Linked DNA regions of Drosophila melanogaster. The protein of the gene in region 2 interacts with the protein of the main gene of each other region in a pairwise test. Each region holds a gene or a part of one and is shown on either strand. Other genes may lie near its edges.

Region 1 (4,818 bases), 4.4 Mb from region 2:
TGATCCCCTCCGCATAGCAATCATTTATTTTGTCAAGCCTCTGACCTCATATGGCTGGCGATCTATTGCTCAACTTTAAAGCCTGTTGTGAAATGCATGCATTTAAATTGTTTCGCAATGGCAGACACACCCGGCAACAGAAGGCAGGCGCAAGTTGAACACGAAACTACACAAGTGAACTAATGCAATTTAATGTAAAGGTAAACTTATGCTCCTCAAACTTCGCCCCCCCCCCCCCCCACACACACACACACAACTCCCTCACTTCATACCCATCAAACGTTGTGTTTACAAGTTTCAGCATTTCCATTAGGCGAAAAACACACACAGACGCACATACATAAATGTTTTATAACCGACTTCAGTGCGTCTGTCTTGTGACTTTAAAATAGTCTTCATTACTCCATTGTCTATAATTAGAATCGAAATTGCTGACTCGGAAGGGGAGAAGAAGATGAAGAAGAAGAAACTCTAGAAAGACGAGACTATAATTAGGATGTGCTTCTTGGCGCTGAAGGGGTATTAGTTCTATACGGGGCAAGATTGACACGTTTCAACGCTGCTGATATACTCGAAACTGATTGGCAATCGGAATTCGTTGATGGATTCAATTCGATTCAAAGGGGAAGCCGAGCCGATCCAAGCGATTCGTAATGTAAATGTTTGTGGCTCGGCTCGATAGCTGCGTTATCAGCTTCCAAATTTCGTGGGAACAACAATAACACAGGCCCTCGAAACGTAAACACAGACTGATAGACAGCCCAGCCAAGGGCGAAAATAAAATGGAACTGCAATTGGTGAAAAGCCCCCAGACTTAGAGGCAAATATAAGTTCGCTTAAAATAAACTGGATTAGGCGTAAACCAATAAGCCCATGGGCACATTGAACATGAGAAACGAAAGCCCCACTTTGCGTGCAACTACAGCTGTGTTTAGTCGTTTAGTTGGAAAACTAATTGTCAATATAGTACAAACATTATGCAAATCTACAGTTTGAAAAGCGCCAACTAATTATAGTCTTCTCCTCGTAAAAGCAACAGTATTCAGTCTAATTGCTCAGCTACAAAACAAATTTCCAACTTATAAAATCTATGTTGTATCCTACTTCTTTCTTAAGAAAAACGAATCTTTCCCATTTTTATTTGAATACTATTCATTGCAATTTAAACTCTTAACGGTACAAACCGTTAAGCTCAACGATTTCCAAGAATGCAAAAACGGTGTTTATTTCCGGTAAACGAAGTATTTTCATTTAAAAATATTCTAGAGAATTCAAAAATTTATCAAGAAATTTGAGTAAATCAAATAATTAGTTAGGTGAAAAAAATAAATATTTAAATATATATGTATTTTATCAAAACACTTTTAAGCGGAAATAGAATTAAGATAATCAGCACTTTCAAACATAAAAAATAAAATAAAAAAATTATATTTTCATTTCGCCAGCTGCTGCTAATTTCGCGAATACCACTGTGTCAGATTTTAAGCGTAAGTGTGTGTGTACGTGTGTGTGGAGAACGCAGTAAAAAAAAACTGGTCTCAAGTCTCGAAAATATGCGCTCAAGGTCGGTCAACGGATTTGCTTTTGTTGCTTTTCGAAAGATAACAAGAACTACAACAACAACAAAAGCGGCTGCAACCAAAAAAGCCGTGCGAAAAAGACACAAGATCGCAAGAATTGAAATGCAACAAGCGCCGCTGCGGGAAAGAGAGGCCACGATATAATTAGAGAGGGAGCCCGAAAATTCTGCCAGCGGAAGCGGCGGCGGCAAACGTAAATTAAAAGCAATTGTAGAAATTTCCTGAGTTGGCGAAAATGTGAGCAGTAATTTCTGTTGGTTGTCGCCACCCGCGCATTACTACACTGAGCAAAAATGCTGAACTGATCAATTGCATCGATCGTGGGATACGAAAAGATTATATCACTTAGAATCAAATGGTATAATAGAAAAATAGATTTTATAATTTGTAGAAAATTATATATATTTTATCAAAATATAAAATATAAAAATAAATAAAGATTTTTTTCATCTTCTTTTTCCAGTGGAAATGAAAATCGTATTAAAAGAGCGATCTTGTGATTTTTCTCAGTGCAATAGTGCCATTACACCCACACAGGGACGCGCGCGAGGCTGCGCCGTTATTTTCGAGTAAATATTTGAATTCCGCGAAGCGAATGGCAAAGCAGCCAAACAACTTTTGCGGTTATTAAGCATAGGATAATAAACACCGAAGAAGCAGAGCAACAAAAATACAAAAAGGCACGCATGATCAATGGGGGAAGGGATAAAATCATGGAGAGGGAGCGGGAGAGCAGAACCCACGGCCATGTGCTAGCTAGCCGTCTCGTTCTTGCGCCCGCAACAAGTGCACAAAAGAGCGGCTTAAAACGGAAAAAGGAGCCACCGCGAACATTATAGAATTTGAATAGGATAAATAGTCTACATATGCATAGGGAATGTAACTCACTTTGTCCAGACACTTAAGCTCCTCGATGGGGTAAACCACCTTTTGGCAACGGGCACAGGTTTTATTCATCTTGCCGCTTTTTCCTCCTTTGTTTGTTGCTTCTGCGACTGTGTGTGTATGTATAAGCCTTTTATTTACACAACAGGATATTACTGTTAACTTTGATTATTTTCCCCGTTTTGACGACACTTTTGCGCCCACGATTTGCGCACGAATTTACGCTCCTCTTGGCTTAATTTTGCATATTTTCTGTGATCTGCGAGTCGAAGAACCGATCGGATCTGAATAGGAACTACGGGAATGTATTTGGTGTGTGTGTAGGTATGAGCCGAGAATTTGATTTACACTATTCACAAAAACATCTAATAACTGGTTTGCTTTGTTGTTGTTGATGTATAAAACAACTGGCGATCGATCGCATAGACTTTTTGTTACCAATTGTGATCCAATTTACACTTTTCTCTTCGTTTTATTAATTTTCAGCTGTCGCGACTGCGCTGCAGGTAAAAATAAGCGACGCGCGCAGTGGAAAAAGAGGAAGAACGACTGGCGTAGGCGTCCGTAATGAATTAATTCCGTTATTTTTGATAACACCGCACAGAGCTCGTAATCTACGATTTGAGTGTTAATTTTTAAGGTGAGTTTGATGGAGGCGCGACACAAACGAAATAACGCGACAATCCGCGATAAATATTCCGTTCCGTTCGAATAGAGTGACCGCAGCAGACTGCGAGCAAAGTGACCGTTGCAAGGTTGTGGTGCAATATTTTTCGATGTCTTGCTATGTTTTTGAGTTCTCTTTTCGGCCGTAATGGCGCCACTGTTTTGTGGAGAAATTGCTTTGCAGTGTGACCATCTATTCGATTGTAGAAAATACCAAGAAAATTTAAATCATCATTTAAAAAAGGATCTTCAACGGTTATACGAGTTTTAACGACATAATATCTTGATAGCTAATCGAACTTTAAGGTACCCTTGGTATAAAATCTTTACATTTTTTTTTTCTATCAAAGCTTAACAGAGAAATTTACTATTATAGTTTCAATTTATGTCAAACCTTTGTATAAACATATGTAATTGTGTGTACCGCAAGTACGAGCAATTACCTATCGGTTGTCGTCGATAGACCGATAGCCTATGTACCGGCTGGCGTACAGGGTGCCCGCGGCACTTGACCCACCACCCTCGAATCCTTGGAGTTTTACTATCGAATTTTCGGTGTGTGTGCATATCCTGCTGCTCCCAGGGCGTAGGACCCAAATTAAACTACAAACCCATTCAAATTGGGTTAAATTAATGGCCAATAACATGCAAAGCAGGAAGAACGTAAAAATCAGCTTGTAAATATTTGCCAAAAGAGTCGAATTGGTTTTTTCGCTCAGCCAAAATCACGAGTGTGTCACCCACTTCTTTGTGCTTCACTTTTTTTCCTGGCTGCCAGACAAAGAAAGCTGCGCGTGTTGTGCAATATTAAGACGGGAAAGGATCAAAAACAACGAATAACAGTTAATTGAAGTTAGATAGCTTACCGCTGCATAATGAAAGGCGTAGCTACATCCCTTTCCCACCCCCCACAACGCCTTAAAGTAGGCAAAGTGGAAGTAAACACGCACACAGAGGCCCCCGTTGGAAAATCGATAATCCGTGCCGTGTCCGTGTGAGCGCGTGCGAGTGTGAGTGAGACAAATGCCGGTGTGTTCTATCGACCGACTGGCACAATAACAACAACAACAAAACGCTGACTGTCAGGAAGTTGGGGAGTGCGAAAGAGACGGAAGACGCAAAGAGCGAAACAAGTGTAAACAAATCACAAAAGGCAATTAGCAATAAAACAACGAAGGAAGTCCAATAAATCATAAATAAATAAAGCTCTTTAAGGCTCAATCATTATTCGCAACATTATACGCGGCCAAAGGAATTACTACACGAATGCCAATCAGCTTTTTCTGAGCAAAATGCAGACGCTGCGCAAGAAAACGAGTCCTTGTAAATGTAAGTAATACAAATAACACCTTAAAACGGAATTTTTTCATCTATAAAGTCTTTTTAAAGTAATTCTTCTTGTGGGAAGAAATTTTTTTTCTTGAAATTTTTGCTAGTGAGGAATGATGAAATTATCAACTAAAAACGCAAGCCATTCACATTGATTTAAATTGCAGTGTTTTATGTCAACAACGAATTTATTTGGTATTGTCAATTGAATTAGGGTATATTATGTATTTTGAACACAGGCATCCCTACTTCGAAGTTCTAAAGTAATATTTCTGAAATCAGTAAAAGAAAAACTGTCCTAAATTGTTTCTCTTTAAAGATACTTTGCCCTTTTAACAGCACTGCATATCAAATTACA
Region 2 (5,307 bases):
GTATACTGTCGCCATGTCGCGTTAAGTGCAGTTAATATGCATTAATTATCGACGGCAACAAAGATGCAAAATTAACGTAAATCAACCGAATATTGCAATTTTCGCAACAGAAATCGAATGATAAATAAAAAAAAATTAAGAGTTAAATGCTTGCTGAGCTCATTATTTGCGAAATGGAATTTATTAACGACTTTTATTTGCTCGAGCATTAACAAATAAATACTGTGGATACATCATTTATTAATTTACATAATTAATGCCTTACTTATAAGTACATAGAACTCTCCCTTGAACCTAAAAAATAATGTTCAATGTCTAGAAAAGTTAAGTAAGTTATCTGACATGGCAATCTTGATTCGATAAGAAGTGAAACATATATAAAAACTGAGTATTAATAAAGTTCGAGATTGATAGCAACATTGATAGTAAATCAGCATTCACGATGTTTAGGCAAGTTTTCAAAATTTTCATGAAGAAAGCTGATGTGAAAATGTTGAAGTCCTATAAAAATTAGCCTATTGATATTACCAGGCAAATAATTGCGTAGTTCATTTGATGTATTTGCTTTAGTTAGTATGTAGAAAATGTTTAGCGTCTCCATTCAAGTTGCTTTGTGTGTGTACTTAGCCCACTTGTATTGAACTTACTCATCGCACAATGTCGACAATATCGCAAGTATTTCACACAATTTCACACGATTCGCAGACAGATAGTGGTATAGTGGTAAATATACAAATATAGAGGGAGTTACGAGTAACTCTCAATGGGGCAGCAAATACAAGTGGGAGGCATTTCGAAATACTCCAAAATAAGTGGGGCCAGGGTCAGGGGTGTAGTATGTAATATATATATATATATCTGAATAAAACTCACCTCGCTGCAGATTGTGTACTTAATTTAGGCGATGAGTTGCCAGCAGCAGAAACAGAAACATTGACCTCGGAACACTTTTCGACATTCGCCTTCGATGATGATTAAGTACTCGAATGCTTTTCGATTACACGCGTTAATTTCACGAAAATATAGTTTAATGGACTTCTTTTTACAGATTTTCGGTTAAAATAGTTGTGGATTATACAGTTTTTAAAATAATATACAGTAGATATTGGTTTGTCTTCATTTGGTTGTCGAGTTTACTTTGTAGTTAAGGTGTTATAACTGTGCTGTTTTCAATGTTGGAATATTTAATATTTTCAATGCTAGTTTTATATTTAATTAATAAGTCAATTTTGCGGATATTTGCTGTACATTAAAATATACATATTTCATATTTATATATTACATGTTTACTTGCGCATTTTATTGCTTTCCCTAAACAGGTAAAAATTCCAGGAAAATAAACAATTTTTGGTGGCTCAGTTGTGGATGTTTATAGACTTGATTTCAATAATCGCATATTTACACTTCTGAATTTTCGTTTCTGATAAATATTTACGCGATATCTTGAAATCGCCGAAAGTGTAACAACATTTCGACGACCTACAAATCCGGGTGAAATAAAAATGATTCAATTTAGTGGGTTAGTCGCAGCGACTAAATGAAAAGCACCCCGCGATTGAGGTGTAAAATGAGGTAATTTCGAATTTAAAAACCCGGAGACCAGGTAAAAAAAAGTAAAAAAAAAAAAAAAACAAAACAAAACAGGTTTTTAGCGATGATAACAAGATGGAACTAAAAAAAAGGGGAGAGAAAAGGGAAAAACCGGAAAGCTAGACGCGATAAAAAAAATGCTAGTCAAGAAAGCGAAAAGCAGCAACTAACTGTATTCCTATAGAGCATATTTTTAAGGAAATCAACCCAAGCACATGTGGTTTTAAAGGCGACAAACAAACAAACATACGTACACAACCACATGCATCATCTGTTTGTAAAATATTCAATGGAATCCAGTCACGACCCGCCGACGCAAAGACAATTTGCAAAGACAGTCTCGCAATCGCAAAGGCAGAACGACGGCAAATGCAGCGGAAACACAATCGAAAGAGCAATAAAAACTATGCCGACACAAAACCAATTAAATATAGTTGCAGTTAATTAATTATAAACCGTTTGGCGAAACGAAAATAAAACACTGGTGGGCATTATTGATATTTTTAAATTTTTTGGCGTCACTGACACAATTCGCGCTCTCTCGCTCTCTTTTATTTGCCTTTTCTTTTGTTGCTTTGCATGTGTGTTGTGTTTCCCTTGATTTTTTTTTATTGTTTTGTCTTGTTTGTTGCTTCTTTTTATGCTTCTCTCTCTTTGGCAGGAAGAACGAGAAACAAACTCAAAATTCTCTGAATATTTCTTTCATTCGGATTTTTTGTGCTGAGCTGCTGAGCAAAGAAAAAACAACAACAACAAACGCCAACGCGCCTTCTCACACAAGCACAATCAGACTCGCACACACATGCACAGTTCAAATTAGTTGGGGCAACAACAATAAGCGATGACTATTGTTATTTAAACACGGCTGCTTTTTTCTCTCTGCTCATCGCTGCAAAAGCCACGCGACAATTGTTATGTTTCAACTGCATTTGGGGAAATAATACTTTAAGAACGGTACATAAAAAAACATTTAAATCAGCACAGTTTCGCGAAGCAAAGGCAATTACAAAACCAAACACTTGAGGGCGCCGCGACGTGTGGAAAAGAGACGGCAGAGCCAAAGACAAAGACAGCTGAGAAATACGTGGAAGCGGTGATTTTCGATTTGTTTTGCTTTTGCTTTTGAACGTCAATTCTTCAATCTATATTTTTACACACAACAATATTTTAAAAACGTTTATATTAATAGTTGTTTTTGAACACATTTAGCGCCAAAATCTCTTCATATTTTCCCGGCGATTTATCGGATTTACCGATGTATTTTCAACACAAGTGCGAATCTTTTATTTTTTTTATAGGATAACCAAAATAATTTACCAATGTTTTTCGTCTTTAAATATTTGAACTTTTAGGGAAACAGCGTGCGCATTCAGCGCTCTCCCGAATTTAATTGAAATGCGCGCCTCCGGTGCGAAAATTGGAGTGAACCCGACGCAAAGTTGAAATGAAAACAAACTGACGACGGTGTGTCCGAATTTCGGGTGTGTTAAAACACTTCTGCAATGCTAACAGAGCTCTGTAATGTGGATTGTTCTACTGTTGCCATACGGTCACACACTTTTAAGCCGCTCAAGTGCTTGTGACACCACTACATTTGATATATAAATTAATATGCTTCTAAAGAGCTTAATTAATCATAAACTAGTTCATCTCTGGAATTTTGTGCTTATTGTTTGCCCTAACAATTCAGACTTTTGAAATCTTAAAACCCAATTCCTTCCATTGTACTGGACTCCACAATGTAGTGTCGTAGCGGTATAAGTATGATCTCTCTGTTAAGCGCAGCAACAAGGTGGCAGCGCTTGCACTTCCGCTAACGTTAAAAGTTTGAACAACCCGGCAAAATATTTTAAATAATTTAAATAAATAAATAATAATTAAATAATTTAATAAATAAAACACAAAGCCTTTCATCAATTTTAAAGAGCTGCCTATATTATTTTGCTAGATTTTGCTTGTGCTTTTGTAGTAAAACAGAAAGATCGTTAATGAGGAATATGAAAGTGTTTTTACTAAATACAACTTTACCAGAATCTTTGGCATAAAGCCAAAATAATACTTAATATGAAATATGTTCTTATCAAACTTGCAAATTCAATTTTCCCGCCAAATGTAAAGTGTGACCAGTTACAAGTACCAGTCCTTGTGAGCCTCTGGTTTTTTATTAGCTAAAAGCGGCGGGCACTCCGCAACTCAGCTGATCGATCAAACAAAAAATATTGATACACAGGAATTTATGAAAAAAAATGCGCAGCGTTTAGAAAGGAGAAAGTATTTAGTAGCACGCACGAAATGGACAAGAATCTGGATGAGGTTTGTGTTTGTACTCTCCTTTTTTTATATTCAGCCCCCTAAAACCGAATGGACTGTGTGTTTTGACTGCTGTTTACTGATACACGCCCCAATTTTTCATCGCCCAGGTCAAAGACACCGTACAAAAGAAGTTCAATGAAATCCGTGCTGCGTTGCATATGCGCGAGAAGTTGCTGCTCCGGCAACTGGAGGTCATAGCGAACACGCGACAGCAGCAGCAGCTGCTGAAGAAGTCGCCCACCGAAATGGAGAACTCGAACTCGGTTGGCAAGAAAGATCAAAGTGGTGTGCGTTTCATTCCCGGGGAAAGCGAGGATGCGGAGGAGAAACTACTGACAGCCATCCGAAGCTACGGACACTTTCTGCTGGACAACAGTGATATGCAGTTGGCGCTGCAGGATTACCGCACCACGGGTTTGAGGAACGAGGACTACATAGAGCCACTAGATGACCACGAGACCATGTACAAGTGCCTGCAGGATGGGCAAGTATCGTATCTCGATCTGGACGAAGACGGTGCCCCACCAGAGGCCATTGTGGTCGACTTCTCTCGCAACAGAAGTCTCGTCGAAGATAATGCCAAGCGCTCCATTATCAACATTACACTGCAGGAGGCAAAGGATCTGATAAAAAAGGCCAAGATCAAGAGGGATACATATGTGCCGCCCTTAAACTTGGAGGAGCTGGATGACGAGTTGGAATCTTCGATTGCCGAAGCCGTTTCCAGCTTGGGGCGAGAAACCTCTGCCAAATCAAAGAGCAGCGTACAAGAACCACCGAAATGCAAGGGTCGCAAACAGCGCTTCAAGCCAAAAATCACAATCAACAATTGCAATGGCACGATCAATCTGCGCAACATAGCCAGCCTGACCATCAACTGCGCCAGCGAAGAGGCGGTGAGTGCAGAGATGCCCCTGGCCAAGTCCGCCGATTCCAGTACCACCGAACCCTCGAACTCCACGCCCACCACCACCGCCTCCAGTTCCAATTACTCCAGTAATGCCAGCTCCCGTTCGCAGTCCAAAAAGCAAAAGGCGAACAAAAAGCTGGACAAGATAGAGCGTGAACCCAGCTCGGATTCCACTCCTACGCCTGGACAGGCCCAGCGGTACGAGGAGACCGAGATTCACGATGTCACCTGCGATTTTTACAATCGCCTACTCAACGAGATCAAGAAGAGCATGGTAGAGAAGCCACGCAGGACATACAACCAGTTGGCAGAGCCCGTTCAAACATCGGCTGCCGATTCCAGTTGCGATGCCAACTGCAATCCAAAGCAGTCGGCTGCCAAACAGGAGCCAGTTTCGACCACCACATCGCTAACGCACAGCGAATCGGGACCACAATTGCAGCCGGGCAAGCGGCTAATCCTTAAGAACTTCGAGAATCTCAAGATCATCCTCG

Evidence for each region.
Region 1: the proteins of app (region 2) and Lasp interact in a two-hybrid assay, tested with the Drosophila melanogaster proteins (one large-scale study listed by BioGRID).

The regions. Positions count from the first base shown.
Region 1 is NT_037436.4:16,708,475-16,713,292, forward strand, and holds the start of Lasp (lasp), read right to left. Parts: upstream 3,204-4,818; 5' UTR 2,538-3,203; coding exon 2,469-2,537; intron 1-2,468.
Region 2 is NT_037436.4:12,263,748-12,269,054, forward strand, and holds the start of app (approximated), read right to left. Parts: upstream 3,095-5,307; 5' UTR 2,908-3,094; intron 2,000-2,907; exon of another isoform or gene 1,845-1,999; intron 1,164-1,844; 5' UTR 874-1,163; intron 1-873. Other genes in the region: CG32100 (uncharacterized protein), read left to right, coding at 3,883-3,903, 4,011-5,307. UniProt on the Drosophila melanogaster protein: Palmitoylates Dlish which is required for the apical cell cortex localization, total cellular level and full activity of dachs.